Drosophila melanogaster: one gene and its partners. The protein of the gene in region 2 interacts with the protein of the main gene of each other region in a pairwise test. Each region holds a gene or a part of one and is shown on either strand. Other genes may lie near its edges. The genes, in order: CG4653, Acox3, Mst33A and Ing3.

Evidence for each region.
Region 1: the proteins of Acox3 (region 2) and CG4653 interact in a two-hybrid assay, tested with the Drosophila melanogaster proteins (one large-scale study listed by BioGRID).
Region 3: the proteins of Acox3 (region 2) and Mst33A interact in a two-hybrid assay, tested with the Drosophila melanogaster proteins (one large-scale study listed by BioGRID).
Region 4: the proteins of Acox3 (region 2) and Ing3 interact in a two-hybrid assay, tested with the Drosophila melanogaster proteins (one large-scale study listed by BioGRID).

The regions. Positions count from the first base shown.
Region 1 is NC_004354.4:16,701,834-16,706,330, reverse strand, and holds CG4653 (uncharacterized protein), read right to left. Parts: upstream 2,251-4,497; 5' UTR 2,244-2,250; coding exon 2,020-2,243; intron 1,717-2,019; coding exon 1,176-1,716; 3' UTR 1,053-1,175; downstream 1-1,052. Other genes in the region: CG9672 (uncharacterized protein), read left to right, coding at 1-339; CG9673 (uncharacterized protein), read left to right, coding at 2,469-2,701, 2,823-3,375; sphe (spheroide), read left to right, coding at 4,434-4,497.
Region 2 is NT_033779.5:6,444,387-6,450,174, forward strand, and holds Acox3 (Acyl-CoA oxidase 3), read right to left. Parts: upstream 3,477-5,788; 5' UTR 3,464-3,476; coding exon 3,221-3,463; intron 3,050-3,220; coding exon 2,915-3,049; intron 2,855-2,914; coding exon 2,364-2,854; intron 2,288-2,363; coding exon 1,810-2,287; intron 1,746-1,809; coding exon 1,475-1,745; intron 1,411-1,474; coding exon 1,256-1,410; intron 1,192-1,255; coding exon 901-1,191; intron 844-900; coding exon 733-843; 3' UTR 684-732; downstream 1-683. Other genes in the region: retm (real-time), read right to left, coding at 5,466-5,746.
Region 3 is NT_033779.5:11,584,331-11,588,822, forward strand, and holds Mst33A (Mst33A), read right to left. Parts: upstream 2,504-4,492; 5' UTR 2,358-2,503; intron 2,299-2,357; exon of another isoform or gene 2,285-2,298; 5' UTR 2,274-2,284; coding exon 1,194-2,273; 3' UTR 1,103-1,193; downstream 1-1,102.
Region 4 is NC_004354.4:18,649,786-18,655,220, forward strand, and holds Ing3 (inhibitor of growth family, member 3), read right to left. Parts: upstream 3,307-5,435; 5' UTR 3,179-3,306; coding exon 3,079-3,178; intron 3,003-3,078; coding exon 1,042-3,002; 3' UTR 933-1,041; downstream 1-932. Other genes in the region: Hou (houki), read right to left, coding at 1-307, 368-485; CG6659 (uncharacterized protein), read right to left, coding at 4,201-4,405, 4,511-4,636, 4,762-4,955, 5,022-5,435.

The DNA of each region.
Region 1 (4,497 bases), on a different chromosome or scaffold from region 2:
GGCAGCCAGGTGGAGGTCTCCGGCTGGGGCCGCACCACCGAGTCCGAGGTGAACATGCATCGCACCCTGCAAATAGGAGCCGCCGAGGTGATGGCACCACGCGAATGCGCCCTGGCCAATCGGGATGAGCTGCTGGTGGCGGACGACCAGGTGCTGTGCCTGGGCCATGGCCGTCGTCAGGGAATCTGCAGTGGGGACATTGGAGGACCGGCCGTCTACCAGGGCCAGCTGGTGGGTCTGGGTGCACAGATCCTTGGCGAGTGCGGCGGAATGCTGCCCGAACGATTCATTAGCATTGCGGCCAACTACGATTGGATCCAACAGCAGTTGCAGCAATAAACCAATGTCGATAGCAAAAGCATTCCAAAAGCTTCATTTTTTGTTTTTTTTTTTTTTAAGGGAAATTTAAGTTACCAATATTGTTTAAAAATAGTTCATTGATATTGTGATATCATGTTTATAACATGTATATTAACTAAATAAAACCTAGAGGTAGTTTTTAATTTTTTTTAAATGTTTCCTCTTTTAGTGGCTTTTTAATTGGTTTTATCCATTTAAATTTCTTTTCTTTTATTTTGTTTATTTATAGGAAAAGCGTACTACTACTATCATCTAGGCAGCTTAATCTAATGAGGTGAAAGTTAAACAAATATCGATAGACCATAAATATAGCCATTATTACTTTGAAATTCGAATTTTGTAGCATACTTATAGGAGCTTTATTAGAAATCTTATAAAACGTTAATGATTAAGACATAAATTAACAAGTGGATTCAATGATTGCTGAGTCAGATGTAAATATATACCCATATATAAGCTGGAATGCTGATAGCACTTAAAATATCAGAGAAAACAAAACCTTCTTTATCTTAAACGCACTCGAAGTAAAGTTTTTTAATAGAAAGAGAAGATTGTTGAGTGTAAATCAAAAACGGAAAACACTACTTTACCTGAACCACTTTAGGTGAAATAATATTTATAAAATCTGTTTCAGTTGTATTTGTATTAAAAAAGAAGTATACAACTGATATTTCGTATTCAGTAAGCAATTTATACGTTGTTTCCCCTTTTAATTAGTATGAAACAACATATACTATTTTAAGTCGGTCACGAAAGTAATTGTTAAAAAACAATGTTCTCATACAGCATTTCCCTAATCAACGTCTCGGTTTTATTTAAACAGCGTTTTCGTTAATCCACTCCAGATGCTGGGTCACATCCACGTAGCCATCGGGCTGCTCGGAACCACATCCGCTCACAAAGAAGGCGGCAATGCCCACCAATTGGTTGTTGTAAGACGCCGGAGCTCCGGCATCACCGGAACAGAGTCCGGCGAAGTCCTCGTCCACCGGGGACAAACAGAGCAGATCCTCCTGCTGCAGGTACAGCTCCGTTTGGCAATCGGACGCACTCAGGCTCTGTCTGGTGGCCACCTGGAGGACATGACTGAGAGATCCGTCCACCTGGCTGGATCCCCAGCCGGAGAAGATAATCTGGGAGCCCGCCGCCGGTCGCTCGGTGGCCAAATCAATCGGATTCGTATTCGCATTCAGGACCACCGACGTTTCCAGCTCCAGCAAGGCCAAGTCATTAGAGCCAACTGCATCCGAACTGGAGTAGTTCGTGTGGATTATGATCTTGGACAGAGGCACCAGTTGACCACCGGTCAGTCGCTGAATGCTGCCCACTCGCACATTGTAGGATTTAGCTGGGTAGCTAAATGGATGAATTGGGTAATGTATTCTGTTTCACACGGTTATCCTACACAGTGAAAAAGTTATATCAACTTGGCAGCCCTTTTGAATTACTTAAATGGTATTAACAGCTCAACTAAAATATATATTTATAGTGATTATACTTTGAATCATTCTCTATCTTTTAAAGTAAGTTTCTTTCAAAATGTGAAAATATTTATAAATAAATAAATAATGTCTTGAAAAGTAAACAATTAGCATCTAATTGAATTATGCTTAACTTAAGTTGATATGAACTTTTTCTCTCTGTGTAAAAACCATCTACCTCTGCTGTCCACCGCCCAAACTGACGCAATGGGCTGCGGTGAGGATCCACTTTTCACGGATCAAAGCTCCTCCGCACACATGGACGCCATTCCGACGCAGTGAGATGCTGTGTGGCTGGGAGCCCACCTCCGCCGGCAGTCGACTGGATTGGACCACGCCCAAGGTCACGATGACCACGAGCAGGAGTAGTCGACTGTGTGAATATGACTGAACCGGACTCATGGCTTGTGGGATCTCAACTGAAAGGTGCGCCTACCGGCCGGCGGACCTTTATAGAACACCCCGTTTACGACCATGGGTTAAGCAATCTAATCGCCACACGATTGTTACCCCCATAAATTCAAGTCGCTCTCCTTATCGCCATACAATGCCCATCGATTAGATCGCTAAGTGGCGGTGACCACCGATCGTTGGCTGATGGGCCCATTCAGTTGCCAATCCATCGCCATGGCTGATCCACGCATTACTCTCGGCCTCGGCCTGCTAATCTTTGGCCTGATCCTCTCCGCGGAAGCCTCGCCACAAGGTCGCATTCTTGGCGGCGAGGACGTTGCCCAGGGCGAGTACCCCTGGTCCGCATCCGTGAGATACAACAAGGCCCACGTCTGCTCCGGCGCCATCATCTCAACAAACCACATCCTGACCGCCGCCCACTGTGTGTCCAGCGTGGGCATCACCCCGTGAGTTCTAACTACACTTTATGATTATATACACTTGGATTCCCTAAGCACTTCACTTTGAGAACTTTAAGAATATATATTCATCTACCAGTTCTAATCCCTATTTGTTCTAAATCCCCAGAGTGGATGCCAGCACCTTGGCTGTTCGCCTGGGCACCATTAACCAGTACGCCGGCGGCAGCATTGTGAATGTAAAGAGCGTGATCATCCATCCATCGTACGGAAACTTCCTGCACGACATCGCCATACTGGAGCTGGACGAGACCCTGGTCTTTAGCGATCGCATCCAAGACATCGCACTGCCCCCCACAACTGATGAGGAGACGGAAGATGTGGACGCTGAGCTGCCCAACGGAACTCCGGTCTATGTGGCTGGATGGGGTGAACTTTCGGATGGTACTGCATCCTATAAACAGCAGAAGGCCAACTACAATACGCTGAGCCGATCCCTGTGCGAATGGGAAGCCGGATACGGCTACGAATCCGTCGTCTGCCTCTCGAGAGCCGAGGGCGAGGGCATCTGTCGTGGGGATGCCGGTGCGGCTGTCATCGATGACGACAAGGTGCTTCGCGGTTTGACCAGCTTCAACTTCGGACCCTGCGGCAGCAAGTATCCGGATGTGGCCACCCGTGTCTCCTACTACCTAACCTGGATCGAGGCCAATACCCAGTAAAACTTTTGGTTCGCCATCCAAGGACTACCCTTTATTTTTTTATACATTTTTTTCATGTGCATAAAGTGTGTTACTCCCTCTACAAAAAAAAACGTTTTGTGTTTTTAACTTTATATGGATGCAAACTATATGGAATTTAGTGCTGGTCATAAAGCTACAATCGATAGAATAACATTTAATTGGCGCCGTTCAAAGGTTCTTTAATTACTAAGAAATTACCTTGAAACCTGTTTCTAATTTATGGGATGCCGTCAAGGATTATCTAACAAAATTGCCAAGTAAATGGTCACAACAATTGGCTATTATTGTTTATGGAGTCATATATATTAGAGAGTATGGCTATTTAACAGAACATTTAGATAGAGATCGAAGGAAATCGCCGTAATCAACCTGGGAACCAAACTTTTGTGCAGCTAGCTTGATCAATCGCCAATGACTGGGCTAAATCTTTATAATCCAGATTTGTTATCGCCAAGCTAAAGGGTAATTCCTACTAAATACGTTGATAATTTGCTTACATTCAAGGCAATTTTATAGAGTTTAATTAACACCAAAATGTTTAGACATTTTATTGAAAGAGCAACTCAAAAAATCCAAAGTTTTCCACGACTGATTTTAGATTATTCTGAGACCTGAAGCACCCTAATTTCCGTAGCTCCCCTGAGTCATGTGTTACTCATCATTATCTCCTATAGATGGTTGTAGTTGTACTGTCACTGGACACTGGTCGTTTGGTTTATTTGGACTTCCCTTCAACCGACTTGTGCAATTTTCTATTTATGTGCCAATTAATCGGTGAACTAACAAGTAACAATAGTCTATAGCGGCATAAAGCCATTGCCATAAGGCGATAAGATTAGATTTTCTCTGATGCCCAAGCCGAAGATAAGGATTGGTCAAGGAAGTGGTGGAGAACTTCGGGTAGAAGGTGGAGGAGGTGGTAGTTATATGGAGCTAGTCTCTTATATTCTCGTCGCTGGCATTGCGCATTTTCATTCCAACTGCCGTGGGTAGCAGAACCACCAAATAAAAAACCAAAAAAAAAATACAGGAACAAAATGATGCAGCCGAGACTAGTGATTTTGGGTCTGATCGGATTGACGGCGGTGGGCATGTGCCACG
Region 2 (5,788 bases):
ATAAAATAATATAACAAATAAAAATATACAGTCCACTATATCGTTGTTTAATAGAAAATGTACTTCTACATAGAAAAAGCAAAATGTTTAAAATAAGTTAATTGAGTACAAATTGTTGAATTAAAAATAATATAAACCATAATTGTAATCCAATAAAATTAAAAGCCAGAAAAACTAGGCCCATTGAAATCTTAGTTGCAAAATAAATGAACATATATCAAATAAATACAGTCCACTACTGTTATAAATGCAACTAATATACTAATGTACATCTCAGCTTGCTGGCCCTTTGGCAGAATGTTCACACATGAACACGAATATATTTAAAGACTTACAATTTTGGGCTCCGTTCATATCTTATGTAAATGAATCGAGAGCGATAAATTATATTTAGGATTTTGTTATCTAAGGCGACATGGGTGCATTGCTCAAAAACATGTAATTTAAGTGCACACTACATGAGTCAGTCACTTGAGATCGTTCCCCGCCTCCTAAAATAGTCCCTTAGTGGGAGACCACAGATAAGGTCCTCGCCGCTCAAGATAGGCAGATGTGCCCGAGCGTGGGACCTCGATAAGGCGGGGACTATTTACTTAGGCCTCTGCGTAGGCCATTTACTTTAAGATGCGATTCTCATGTCACCTATTTAAACCGAAGATATTTCCAAATAAAATCAGTTTCTTACAAAAACTCAACGAGTAAAGTCTTCTTATTTGGGATTTTACAGTGAGTCTACAATTTGGCGCGCTTAAGGTAATCCTTGTAGGTAACATCACGCCACCAATGAGGACGCTCGTAGACACCTGGAGTGGAGACAAGCGTGCGCTGCAGATGCTGGTAGACCTGCGAAAGGATAGAATCTTTAGTAAGAGTAGCAGTTGCTTATGGTAGACCACTTACGTTTCCATCGCTCATGCCCAGAGGAGAGTTTAGAATAAAGTCTGTGGGAGCAATGGCATCCACCAGAGCAATGGCTTCGTTCTTCAGCAGGGGAAGCAGAGCCAGAATGCCCTGTTCGTACAGCTCCAGTTGGTTAGAGTTTTCGCGGAAGTAACCACCGCGGTAGAAAGCAGCGGAGTACTTTGTGACCAAGTGGGCGCCATAGAAGGAGAGCACCTGCTGCAGTACCTTCTTCTCAGCAGAGTCGGGCAGACCAATTACAAACTTATAAAACACGTAGTAGATGGTGCGCTAAAAGAATATTAAACTTGGTTATTTTACTATTTAGTTGGGGTTTAGAGGGTTGGCATCTCACCTCGCCGTAGATAATGGAGAGCTTCTGGGCGGCAAAGACCTGGATGTTGTTCCTCGTCTCAAAGGCATCCTTTCCTTCGCGCTGCTGTTCCTCAACTCGTTTCACCGTCGTATCCAGTTGCCAGACGGTAAGCCAGTTGAGGGCATTAAGTAGATCTATAGAAGTGCAATAAAATTGCGTTATTCCTATCTTATATTTGGATAACTAAGAAATACTCACTGAGCGGATCCAAAACTTCGGCAGGAGTTCGCTCCTGACCCTTGCTTTGCAGAATTGTGTCCATATCCTTCAGGAAGGAGACTGTCTCCAATGGGGAAACTGCCACGAAGTCGGCATTGTTGCGTTGCAGACTGATCAACCAATTGGACGCTTGCTGGATGAGCGTGTTGTTCTCGCCCTCATAGGTGCAGTTGGCATCGTTGTCGTTGCGAAGTTCGCCCAAGCCAGAAGATTTAAGATAGCCATGACCGCCACAGGCCTCGCGGCATTCCTGAGATTAAAACAATATAACCGATAAGTAAAAGTGGTTATATACATATATAAAGCATTCATACCTGGATGCCATCCCTGGCAGCCCAAGTGGCAACTGGTTTGAGTGCCGATGAGATCGCATGGATCTCCATGCCCGCTTGCGACGTGTCCTCGCCAGTGAAGCCCTTCATGGTCAAATCCACGTTCTCTTTGCCTATCCAGAGTGTGGCCACCCGCAAGGCGATTGTGGTGGCCAAGTGGGGAATTAGTCGGTATTGCTGTGACTGATACTCGATCACGGGCCACTCCGCCGGGCTGTTGGTAGGGCCAAACTGGCGTCTGCTGGCCGCATAGCGAGTGGCAATTGTCACAGCCTTGCTCAAGGCCACATACGTGATAGCAGTGATATTGACGCGACCCACGGAGAGGGCACCCAAGGAGGCGCCAAGGCGCTTACGCTCGTCCTTAATTTTACTGGTGTAGTTTCCCTGCGCATCGATGTCACCGGTCTTGGACAGCAGATTTGCCTTAGGGATACGATACTGGTTGAACATCACAAATCTGCAATGCCAAACAAATCGAAATTATTTCTGTTGCTGTTGATTAGTTTTATCAACTGATAGAAGAAAGTACTTGCCCGTTATCAATGCCATTGAGACCGATCTTTTCGCCCATATCGCCGACGGTTACGCCGGGGAATGGAAGCAATGTACGCTCGTCCCGAATGGGAACAAGGAAGGCCTGCAGGCCCTGGTGCTTGTCATCCGGCACGTACAGCTGGGCGTAGACGATTGCGTGCGTGCAAGTCTTGCCTAGATTACCGACCCAACACTTGGCCGCCTCGAAGTCTGGCGTGTGGATGATAAACTCCTGCCTTTTCACATCGTAGGTGGCACGGGTGCGCATGCCGAGCGCGTTGGTGCCGTGAGAAATCTCAGTGAGAGCGTAGGCGCCCAAAATGCGGTTGTCCGCGATCTTGGCCACGTACTTGCCCAGGCGGCCAGATCCGTTGGAGACCAGCGTGCTGGGGAACATGCCAGTTGAAAGGCCGAACTTGACCGAAGTGCTGAAATCGTAGCTAAAGATGGCCTGTCCGAAAGCAAGCAGAAGATGTGGGGTTCCAAGATACTGAAAGAAAGACAGGAGATTTAGGCAGCCACACTTTCAGGAGTACGCAACGCATCCTACCTCGTTGACGCCGTAGAACTGTTGCTCCCACAGAAGATGCTGCCGCTTGTTGGCCATTTCGCGGGTGCGTTCCAAATCGGATCCTGGCTCCCGCTGGTAGTCGGGGTGCTGTTCCATCCATTGCCACACCTTGTGCTAAAGACGGAGTGACATGTAAACGAATTACTCAAGTGTGCAGATAAGAAACGGGCGACGATTAGACCGGGCGGTTGGCGGCCTGCAGCTCCGACAAAAGCTATCGAGGCAGTCTGCACTTCGACCCCGCTGACCATGTACATATGTAACAAACTGGAAATGGTAACGAACCTTCAGCCGTATGTGATCCTCGCCCTCGAGCACCACGTTCATGCGCTTGTAGCAGAAGCTAGCCCGCTCACGGTACTCTTCCAAAGGTCCGCTACGGAAGTCGGGAAAGATCCGTTTGTCATCGTAGATGTTGGCTGCAGCCTTCTCCTCCCGGCGGCCGCTGTAATAGTCGCCCAGTGCGGTTAGTAATGAGTTCAGACCGTTTTGGTCACCACCATCGCCATCGCCTACTCCGCTCGCCATTGCCCAGAGAACTGGCTCTTGTTGGAATGTTGGATTGGTGGACGTTGTGGTCGTCAGTCGAGGCGATGGGGCTGTGGGGCAGGGGTACTTACTTTGTGCTCAATGCAACCATGTTGGAGTTCGATTCTAGCGACTGGTCTGGCTGCTTCGAATGCTAGGCGCGAAATGCTTGAAAGTCCAGGCACTCGTAACTATTATTGGTAAAATAGCCAATGTCCAATGGCCAGCGGCGATAAGAAGGAATCCGCTTATCCGCACTTCATGGCCAAGTAGCCTTTTAGTGGTTTGCATCCGCCGCGGATAAGATACGGGCCCTAGGAGAATGCGGGATTAGGGCGGCCCGTGCAGGTGGTGGTGGGTGCTGCCTGCGAAATTCGAATCTTTTAGCGGCCACAAACATTGCTTTAATTTCCTATCAGCCATCAGCCAACAACAAGCGCGATAAACAAACAATTTTAACCCAGTTTTTCACCATTGAAGATAACATAGTTTGACGTGACTTAAGCCATGAGAAAGAACGGTGTTATATAAATACAAAATGTGAAGTTTTTTAAATTCTGTTAATTATTATATAATATAATTATTTAATTATTATACATAATATACATAAATTTCATGTTTAATTTTCTTTAATATCACAATTCAATGTTTTCACAAAATGTTTTAGCGGGGGCGTTGCCAGACCTTCTCAAGGTAGCCAGGGCTGGAATAGTAGGTCTGGCGCGTAATTTGAATATTCTTTCTATCAGAAACGAGTCATTTGCTGGTCTAATTTTATCTATTTTGTTATATAAAAACATTACAATATATATAAAAACATTACAATCCACATTTAAAATATGAAAAGAGCATCCATATCCATACCATACAATTTTCATGGATTCTAAATTTGATTTTAATTAAAACTGTTGAATAGTTTATTTTTTTCAAGAGCCCACAATAAAATGCGAATATGTACATGTAATTGATCTAATAGCATTTATTTGATTACGTTCTTAATACAACTTACACACTTAGTTAACATGCACTCATTTTTCCTTCGTTATTGGCTTGTCAGTTTATTCTTACAATACACGTCAGATTATTTATAAAACTAAATTGTAAACATCCGCATAGTAATTCGTTTTTAATACAATAAATAATAACCAAAAAAACACACTGAAGTTGCCTTTTTTGATTTTAAAAACACTTTGGAGATTGATTGATATTAGCAATTAAGGGCGTACAAATGACGGGGTAATTAGTGTGCAATCAAAAACGTTCTGCATTCGAATGTTTAAAATACAATTTTACATTTATAATTATAATCTGACGTCTAGCTATAACCTACGTGTGTATTTCGAGTTCAAATCTTACATTTCACTCTTTTGTATAAGTTCTGGCTAAAATCCTTGCAATAAGCCATTTCGGCAATTTGTTTATTAAACTAATTAGGTAACACGTAGTTATTGATTACAATTTCAATTTTTTCTATTTTCGTTTCAGTGGCTGCGCAATCGCAATAAGTTCCTTAATTGTTGCTAAAAAATGTTCCATTAGAAAAAGCTATAAAAATTACGTCGCTTTTACATATATATGTACGCATTAAAACTTCATTTATAGAGCTGCTTACGAAAAATTCAAATTGACGATTCAAATAAAACGTTGCGTGATATTTTGGTGTTGCTCATTTAAACCGCTGATATTTCTAATTTTCTTAAGATTATCAATAATATGAATGCTTGTATATATTGAATGAATATAATAAATTTAAAAGGAAATAAATGGCCTATTTGAGCTAAATACAATTTAAAATCAAACTAACATTCTGCTAAACAACTAAAGACAACTAAAACACAAGATATTACCACTTTCGGTCTTAAAAGAATACGTCCGGCGTTTCAAATAGATTCAGGCTCTTCTCCATCAGGGTGCCCGTGAGAATGTCCGCCGCTATGGGCTCCTCCAATGCCGGGGATCTCCATTCGGCGCCGTTCGTTCCGCCATCCCCGGCTTTCTCATATCATCGACTCTGCACCGAGCTGGCCGCCGACGAGTTCGATGAGAATGCCGACTGCAGGCTGGTCATCGAACCCTTGTAGTTGGCCGAGCTGAGCACCTCGTAGAAGACGTTTAACTGGGCACCCGATGGACTAAACCAGTGCATAAGATAGCTGTCGTTGTGATGCATCACGTGCGACCCCTGGACGCTCTCCTTGTGCCGGCAAATCAGCGTTGGCTCCTCACGGAAATAATTGACGCCCTCGACGAAGTCCTGCAGATCAAAGTACGAGACGGCGGAATCTGTGGGCGAAGGGCATTTAATTATATGTAAGCTGTCAAGCT
Region 3 (4,492 bases), 5.1 Mb from region 2:
CTGGCTTCAGCTAGACTAAATGCTACCCAGCTATTCCACTTTCCAGTAAAAGTAAAATTAAATTAAACTGTGCGTTTGAGGGAAAATGGTCTTATTTAAAATGTTTTTATTTTAATTGTTTTCATTTTAAATTTTTATATAAATCTGTTCAAATATTTTAAAAATTCTAAACCAATTTGTGCGCCCAAGTTTTTGTGCATCTATAAACTCCACTGCACGCTGACTTCCTGGCCCAATATGCCCAACACGATAGCTTTCACCATCCGCTGGGCGGAAGGTAGGGGGGGAGTGTAAATTATTCAGTAAATTGTTAAGTAAATAACACGAAGGGCGCACGTTAAAAAGCAACCGAAAGACAACAATAACAGCAGCCAGAACACAACAACGTGCACAGACATCAACACCGTCCAACTCCGACCCAACCTTGTCCTTGCGTCTAGGGCCGCCGTGGAAATTTACCTCTCATATATGGATATGGCGGTGGTGATAATGTTGGTGATTCCGGGTCTGATGATAATGATGATGATGATGTTCAGCAACTGAAGCCAAGGCGAATGATGACACGCCGAACAGTTCACGGCTCAGCGGAATTGCCGGCAGCAAATGTACAATAAAATAAACACCAAATGTGGAAAGCTAGCCCCGGGCTCTTCGAACGAAACGGAACGAAAACAAAGCCGGAAACGGAAGCAGCTATGAGAGTTCAGGGGGCTGGAACGACTCTGAACGCACTCTGAACCGAGTAAACAATGGCGAGAAATTTGTTAGCCCAGGAGCAGGAACCAATGCAGGAAAGTCGAGTGTAGACAAAGGCCCCATCGACTCATCTCGGTGTCCGTCCAGTCCACCCACAAATCGGCGATGATTGTGGCGGGTTGAGAGGAGATGGCAGTGGCAGAGCTACAAGTTGCACAAACAGATGAATAATTCCGTATAGGGAGAATTAAAACTTCAACCCGTTTCGACTGACTTAAGAAATACATTTAGGACAAATGCCACACCAAGCTTAGTGAAATTCGTGAAAAAAACTGAATCAAAATCAATTTAAGGGATTTCACGATTTGCGGTTTTGTAAACCGTAATAAAAATAACTTTCGAATTTCCTTCGCCTTTGACCTTGGTGTTTAATTGCGTGCTTACAATGCTTTTTATAGTTATGCAAATGTTTTGTACAATATTTGTAAAAGAAATAGTTATTTAAATATACTCTTGACTGTTCCAAGTGCTTTAGCAATGTATCCAAATTTGAACCAGGAGCCGTTTGCCTCCTCTAGGGAATTTGTACTTCCATTCCAAACTTCTAGCTGGCCATCTCGCTGAATATTGAAATTAGTTTCCGAAAAATCACTTTCTGAAATCTGGGTGAACTGTGAGGTTTTACGCTTCTTTTCGCGCTTGGGAGCGTCAACTCTGGATACTTTGGTGTTCTGGCGCCTTGGTCTGCTCACATTCCGATAGAGATCCCTTTCGGCAGGAGTCATTTTACGCCATAATGAGGCCTTTTCCACAATCATCAGACCGGGATTGGCTTGACCGGTTTTTCGCAGAAAGTTTTTGTAAGCCGAACCACTATAAATTATATTCTTTTTGCCAGCATTTTTGGCTGATTTTCTGGGAGTCACCAGAACTCGTGGTTTTGGTTTTAAACGCTTAATTGTCTTACGTATTTTTGGGGACGAGATCTTCTTCGCATACTTTTCAGATTTCATGGACGTACTGGCTTCATTAAATGCATTCTGTATTTTGGTTGTAATTGGATATACCGGATGCAGTGTAGCTGCATTTAAAATTTCGTCACGATTATGCACTTGATCACATAATTTTAGAACGTAGTTTTCAGGAGTATATTCTTGTTTTTGCTCAGCTGTCAGTTTATCCCACTCGACGATGGCCTGCTGAATACTTTCTCGGGGTACGGAACCATGAGCTATGGAGAAATCCTGGAGAAAGTTCACAAACGGTTTATTTCTCACCGACACTGATGCAATAGACATATCGCTGATTTCAGAATTAAGCTCTACCTTGCCATGTGCGTTGCTATTACTTGCCACAATATTTATTTCCGGTGTGGAATGGCCCTCGGCTAACGCACTGTAAAGCGATGAATTTGAATACCGCACCATTCGGGGTTTTTCAATAACATGAATATTTGTATTATTTCCCGAGTCCAACAACTGTTCAGTTCCTTGCATTATAATTTTCGAAAGTGTGCTCGTTACTTTTACATTTGTATTCGATTTTTTCGGTAAACGGCGTTTTGAAACGGGCGCCATTTTGAGGTTGCCTGAAGGAGGTTGCCTATAGAATGAAAAATGAAAAAAAAAAACAAATAGAAGTCGACAAATAAGGGTACATACTCTTGATTATCTATGCATTTAGTTTACTAGGTCCTATGTTAAATATGCTATCCAAGTGTTATATTTTCCTTGCAACAGCTGTGTTTAAAAAGTAAAAAATTTCGAAATACTTATTTACGTGAGCCTAGAAAGTGTGTGCTGTGTTCTATACTGATAGACTAATGGAGAAACGTAAACGCAGGGGCAACTGTGATCTCAGCCTGCTTCTTACAAATTTTAAACCGAATGAAAATACATCTTTTTGTGGTAAGTTTGCTGCTATAAATATTAAAGATTTATTTGCCGCACATCGAATAGAAGCACACAGAACCGTTTGGATCCATTCTGCACCCGCAGAGCTCCTCCAGATCTGGGCCAAAATCTGCGCCGCAGAGTGCTCAGACGCAAATGACATGCAAAATAAGCAGGACCAGAACCAGTGGAACCATTGAAACCATTGGAACCATGAGCAGGAGCAGGAGCAGGAGCAGCCGGGCCACTTACTGAGCCCCAGACATCCAGCAGATAGGGTTTATTAGGGCACCGAGACGGCATCCGTAATTTATGCGGGTTTCGAGTAAAAATGTTTGCATAAACTTTATGCAAAAATATGCTCTGGCCAACGCATGCTGGATTTCCATGGGTTGAGTGAGTGGTTCGCTTGGTGGCTGGGTAGTTGGCTATATGGGTGGCAAGGTCTCTGGGCAAAAAAACTCTTGGCCCAGGCACATTAACAGAAATTGATTTTCGATTTTTCCCCCACTCGCTCGTAGATTCTGCTCGGAAACAAAGTATGGAAAATGCTTTCTAGCTGAATTAGAAAATAAAGCAATTTGTTTTGCGCATTTTGTGTCGTTTCGGTTATCCTGCAAAAAGTTTGATTAGTTTGTTTTGCATTTGTTTTGGGCGTTGGGAGCGGATAATGTTATTAATGTTTCCTATAGAGTGCCCTGGAAGTTGATCGAACTCTGAGCACTGACCAAAAAAGGTTTGGCAACATAGTTGCCGAAAGTTTGGGTAAGGGTTTTAAAAAAAAAGTTTGCCATCATGTGTTTGCGGATTTTCCTCGAGAGTTGTTTTTTGTTTCACACTTTCAGGAACCGGTTTCAGTAAGCCTTTTCAGTCGAAACTTGTTTGTGGAAGCCAGGTTAGCTGGCCTCCACCTTATGACACTTTGCAGAAATGCACTTCGACCTCGCGTGGTTTGCTGAGGGTTCAAATGGAAGGGATTAAATGGTTAAATTGTACAAAAGGTTTCACAAAAAAAAACGTAATTATAAAATGTATTTTTTTATTAAAACAGCCGTTAACGGCCCTTAAATGCTTAAACTGATTGGTAACTGTACGAGAATTATCGCACCCTTGAGATAGGATTAATTATTAATTTATTCATTTTTAGTCTTACATGTACTTAAACATTTGTATGGGTCCATCTAACCCTTAAAAGTTCGGGCTAACTGAGAAATACATTGTAGAATAATTTAAGTTTAAGTAAAACATGTTTATACACTTCAAGTAAATAAAAATGGAAATATTATAGAAATATATGTTCCATTTCAAAATTTTTTTTTGTTATAAGAAAGGTTGAGCAATCAAAATTGATTGCCCCTCTCTGCAACAATGTGGGTCAAATCATTTTGGCAAGGTGCTAATTTGGTTTTTCACATCCCAAGATCAAAGAGAGCCTTCAAGTTTTGCCCACTTATTATAACAATCTCGATTTGCAGGCCCCCCACAGCCTTGACCACATTTCCCAGCCAAACTGACCGTGACCAGAAACAAATTGGCGTGCAAAGTGCTCGACAAATCAATTGCAATTACCCGGCAGTCTGCCATCGGGGAAATGGGGCCAACTTGTGCTGGCTGGGGGGGCGGCTGTTTGGGCCAAATGTAAAGCATTAAATAATTCCATTCGCTGCCTGTTATGCGCCGCAATGAGCCACGAGCTCAATCAGAAAGTTAGCCAAACAAATTGAAAACGAAAACACAAATGAGATACACTTTTGGCTGGGACTCGATGCTTTCGAACGACTTTGTTTCTGGCTTTGCATTTACTTTGCTTTTCCGCAGTCGAAAAGCGACAGGAACAACAGGATGGCGAAAAGTTGAAGGGAAAATCAGGCAACAATAATAACGGCAAGGGCTTACTTAATTTT
Region 4 (5,435 bases), on a different chromosome or scaffold from region 2:
CGCTCCAGCTCAAACATGGCCTCCTCGCCGGACTCGGACAGCTTGCTTTGGGCAAAGGACAGGGCCTCCTCCACCTTGCCGGCGCGTATCAGCTCGATGAGCTGCAGCTGCTGCAGGTGGAAGAACAGATAGCGATCGCTGCCGAGCAGCTCAGGATGCAGCTGGTTCACCAGCTGGGTGGCCTCCTCGATGCGGCCCGCCTGCACGGCTTCGCGGATGAGTATGCGCCCATCGAGGCTGCTCAGCTCCACGCTGGGCTCCAGATCCGCCTCGTGCTGGAACTTCTCGGCGGCCTCCTTGAAGCCCTCTGTGGATTAGCCCTTGATTAGCTGCTTGCTGTGGCTGCGGGCTGGTGACCCGGACTCACCTGTGACCAAGTAGTTCATGATCAGGCGATTCATGTCCGCCTGCTTGAAGGGAAACTGCTCCAGGCGCTGCAGCCACTCCTCCTTGATGATGGCCTCCGATTTCTCGTTGTAGCTCATTTTCTTGCTCTTGCGTATCTTGCCAATCTTGAGGCCGTTTTTCCAACCGATTTGCGTCGAATTCTGTTTACCTAATCGTCTTCCCGCTTTTCCTAGCCCTGTTTATGCGCTTTTATTGTTTACTAACTTGCAATGCACAAATGACGCTGGAAATTTTCTTTTCTTCTGTTCAGCGTGACCAGAGTGCTTTAGCAAGCGCAGCATGGTCACGCTGTTTGATTGCCAAGAGGGCGCGAATTTTGAAATCAAACTATCGAATGAACTATATTTTATTGTTTATTATTATTGTAGCGAAAACACCCTAAATTTGTTATTTAAGCTAGAAGCTGGCTTAAACTACTTTAGTTAAGATATATTAGTGCAATCCCAATCCACTATTCGCCTTTGCGTTCCGAACTGAATATAAAGAGCTGCTCTATTGCTGATCTAACTTTATTGAATACTTTGAATTTGTTTATTTGTCACTTTACAAGTATAAGAGCCGCTAGCGACGCGACCAGGTGCCTACGCCGCCGCCCCCGCCACGGAAGAGGGGCGCCAGCAGGCGCAGTCAGCCTCAGTTCTTTCGGTTGCCACGGCGCCGCATGGAGGCGGTGCACTTGGGGCAGTACCACTTGCCCTTGGGCGGCTGGGTGATGCCCACGCAGGGGTAGTGGAACCACTCGTAGGGACAGGCGTCGTTGTCGCAGGCCACCATGTCGCCGTAGGACACCTGGTTGCAGGTGCAGTAGCGCGGCTCGTTGGGATCGTACGACCATTCGCCCTCGTTCGTCTGCTCCACCACGAGTCCGTTCTCGCCGATGGTCAGGCTGGAGCCGGGCGTTACCGTGGTGGTGGGCAGGTTCATGGCAATCATTCCGGCGGGCACGCCCTCAGCGGAACTCTCCGCCAAGTTGCCTCCGCCTCCACCTCCGGGGGTCATGGCGAGCAGCGCCTGTCCACCCACAGACATGTAGGTTGTCGTGGCCGATGCCGCCGCCAGGGCCGCCGACGTGGTGAGCTTGTTCACCGATTCCAGACTAATCGACGACGACGAGCCAATCGAGTTGCCCGACGAGGAGCCGGCCGTCGGCTGCACTGTGGGCAACGTCAGCGCTGTGGTTAGCTTCTTCTTTTGCTTCTTCTCCTGGTGGTGGCTGCTGTGCCCGCCGCCGTGACCACTGCTGCTGTGGTGTCCGTGCCCATGACCATGCCCATGGCCATGACCATGTCCGTGCCCATGGCCGCCATGGTGCGACTGTGAGTGGTGCGAATGATGCGAGCCGGTGCTACTACCGCCAGCTGCGCCGGTGGCCAACGCTGTGCCGGCAGCCACTGTCACCGATCCAGCGGTCGACTGCTGCAGTCCACCCTGACCGGCTTGGGTCCAGAAGTCGGTGGTGGTGCCCGCTGTTCCGTGTATGGCCTCGTAACTCGCCTTGAGGCTGGCCGTGCGGCGGCCTTGCTGCATCTGCTGTGTGGCCACGATCGCCTGGCTGGCTGCCGCCGCAATGGCACTAGATGCGGCGGCTCCTCCGCCCAGTTGTTGCAGGTTGTAGGTGACTGTGGCCCCGGCGGCCGAGTGCCCACTGACATGGGCGTGCCCGTGGGCCGTACCAGCAGCGACCACGGACGTGGAGTTGCCGCCCGCTGCCGCTGCGGCGGTCGCTCCACCCGAGGTGCTTAGCACGGTGTGGGTAAGGTTCGTGGGCAGTTGGCGGACCAGCGAACCCGTTCCTGTGGCAAGCGAGCTGCTGGCAAGACTGCTACTGCCGCCGGCCACGCCCATGGCCACAGGCAGGGTGAGATGAGTGGCGGCGATGCTGCCAATGTGGTTGGAGACATGAGTTTGGGCAGTCGTCGCGCTGGCCAGGCTGGCGGCTGCTGCGGCCGTTGTGGCGGACGAAGATGAGGCTGCCGCGGCAGTCGTGGAGCCCGAACCGACCACGGGAAGTGAGTGATTCAGATTGGCGCGCTTCTCCTGAACAGGCACCGTGCATATGGTTTCCCGCCGCTTCTCCAGCTTGCGGTGGCGCTGACTTGAGCCCAACTGGGCGGTGGAGATGCTGGAGAGGGCACCGCCCGTTCCGGCAGCACCACTGACCAGTGCAATGCCGGAGGAGCCAGTGGCGGCACCCGTTGCGTGTCCCGTCGAGCTGTTCACCATGGTATTGGCCGAACTGGCGCCGTAGTAGCGGTTCTCCTTCTGGTTCATGCTCAGCAGCAGGGCGGTGGCTGCAGTGGAGTTGCCGTCCAGCTCCAGAGAGCGGCGCTCGAGGATTTCGGTGATGCCGTTGTTGTCCGCCTCCAGCTCGCACTTGAACTTGAAGAGCTCGCTATCCAGGCGGCGCAAGTAGCGCTCCACCAGCTCGTGTATCTGAGTGGCAATAGCCACCTTCTCGTCGGCGTCCTCCATCACCTTGAAGTACTCGCCGCGCAGGCTGTGGAACTCCGTGTCCATCGACTCGTGCTGCAGTTCGTCGCGCTTGCACTGCTTGAAGAACATGTGGGCCTTCTTGTCCAGCGAGTCCATGTTGTCTGTGCACCGCAAGGAGCAGTTATTGGTTAGTGATCCGGCGAAAAGCAGAGATTCGGATTCTCTGGTTGCACTTACTCTGGACGGCGAGATCTAGTTCGCGCATCTCGGTAAAGCGGTCGCGCAGCTCCTGCGGCAGGTGCTCGATCATCTCCAGATAGTCTTCGAGGTAAAGCATGATGGCGATGCGAATGGGCCGCGGTGTAAACCCAAAATTTTAACTACTTTGTGTGTTTATTAATGAAAATTCGTGTATTGTTGCGGGTATGTGTGTGACCGGATGGCGAAACGAAGTTAATCCCAGATGCGGATGGTAGTGCTCGATAATATCGATATTTAAGCAATCGACTCGAAACCGCGATACAAACTCAGGGTGGATAGCTGCGACACAAACCCTGTAAGGTGAAATTCGAAATTTAAATAAATTGTATAAATGGAAATCATAATTAATGATATTATTTATTTACATATTATAAGCTGTATTGTATAAAACTAAAAATGTGAATATATTTCAAAACAAATATATACTCACATTTTTACTGTTCAAAAGTTGTGAACAATAAGGAGTAAGCATTTTAAAGATATAAACAAACAACAGATGCCCATAGGATTGTTTCAAATATATCATTTTATTTCACTTATTGCCTGGCAAATGCGTGTTTACCCGCTTGTTTTTGGGTCTGGGATCGTGGCTCCCGGATGCACATCGTCCACATGCAGCCACTTTCGTTGCCACACGCGTCTCATCGTCATATGTATACTACATGCGTAAATGTAAAAAGCTTAGCTTAAACTTAACGAAAGTATTTAGAGTTAAGGTCGCTCCGTTCGGCTAGATTAACTTATTCGAATGCGAGGGCGCAGGCGCAGGTGCGGGTGCGGGGAATGATCCAAACAAGGTTTGAACGCAGCGGCGCGGAAACAAGTCAAGCTGCTAAATGCATCCAGTTTACTATCTAGCGGAAGGGGCCTCCTTCTAATCGCCAATCTGCCATATCAAATCAGCTACTACGCGGGATCGGGATTTGGGATTGGGTGCGAGATGTGTTCGGGCATCCGAGGTTGGGGCAATACTAAACGTAATCATAATACACACACATCGTAAAATGCTAAATCCTAGTCACACAGCTCACACAGCTACGTACAACACAACACGATTCCAGCATTCCATCATCGCGCCGCCTCCGTGGACGGCCAGCCCTATATGGACATCTCGGGCATCTTGTTGTGCTTGAGGTTGATCTGGACGCTCTGCGAGAACATCTTGATAATGCCGTAGTGGTCGTTGGCGAACACTTTCAGGAAGCTGGGCACGTTCTTGTGGAGCAGCTCGTGGCAGAACTGTGGGTATTTTTGGTAGGCCGGCTGCTTGTCATCCCAAATGGCCAGCAGATCGCAATCGTCGCTGTTGTAGAAAGCAGGCAAAAGTACATATTAATGCGATAAGAATACAATATCTCAATTAAGCGTTCAAGTGCCCGTCTCGAGGATTTTGTCTGCGTCTACTCACCGCACTTCGTTGGTGCACTCGTCCAGCGATATGATCAAGTACTGGATCTTCAGCTGGGCGCACTGGTTGTAGATATCCGACGACTGCTGACGACTGTACACCGAGTACACGTGCTCCGTGCGCTCCCTTAAAAAAGATAAACAAAGGCGGAAGTTTCAGTACGTGCATGGCCAGGATATGGATGCCAATGAGAGCGGGACAGAGCAGGGGCATAGTCGATAGGCTATCTCGCTCAGATTGGGAGAACTTACGCTATCTGACGCATCTCCAGGTGCGCATGGTTGACTATGGGCCGTTTGGTGGTCAAGTGCACGGTGCCGATGATGTCCACGGGGCCGGCAAAGACCGCATCTCGCTCTGTGTTCAGCTTGATCCACTCGAGCATGCTGTCCAGGTCGTCACCGCTCTTGGAGTAGCGCGTGGGGAAGTACTCTTCGCGAATGTTCTATTTTTGAGAGGGCGACGAAATCACAACAATTCCCGTGAGCAATAGAGGCGGTATCCAACTTACCACCATGCCCGGATCGAACATGCTGAGCAGGAAGACGGCCAGCGAGACCGACCAGAAGATGTTGCGCTGGCGATGGTACCACAGTTTGGAGCAGACGGTGGGTGCGATGACGCAGCCCTGCGTGAAGCTGAGGAAGAAGAGCTTGCGCACGGCGAGTCCGATAAGGGTGAAGACTAGCATCTGCAGGAAGCTGTACACGTAGTGCATGTTGAGGATCTGTGCGTTGGCCGTGGGCACCACGGAGCTGCGTCTGGAGGAGCTGCGCTTCCTCTGTCGATGGCCACTCGAGTTTGAGCCGCAGCCGGCGGCGGTGGCAGAGTGTTCCTCCTCCTCCTCTTCATTGTCCGCGGACCTGGACGGCGGCGTTTCAGTGGGATCTGCTGCAGACTCGGTCTCCGTTTCGCCACTACCTGG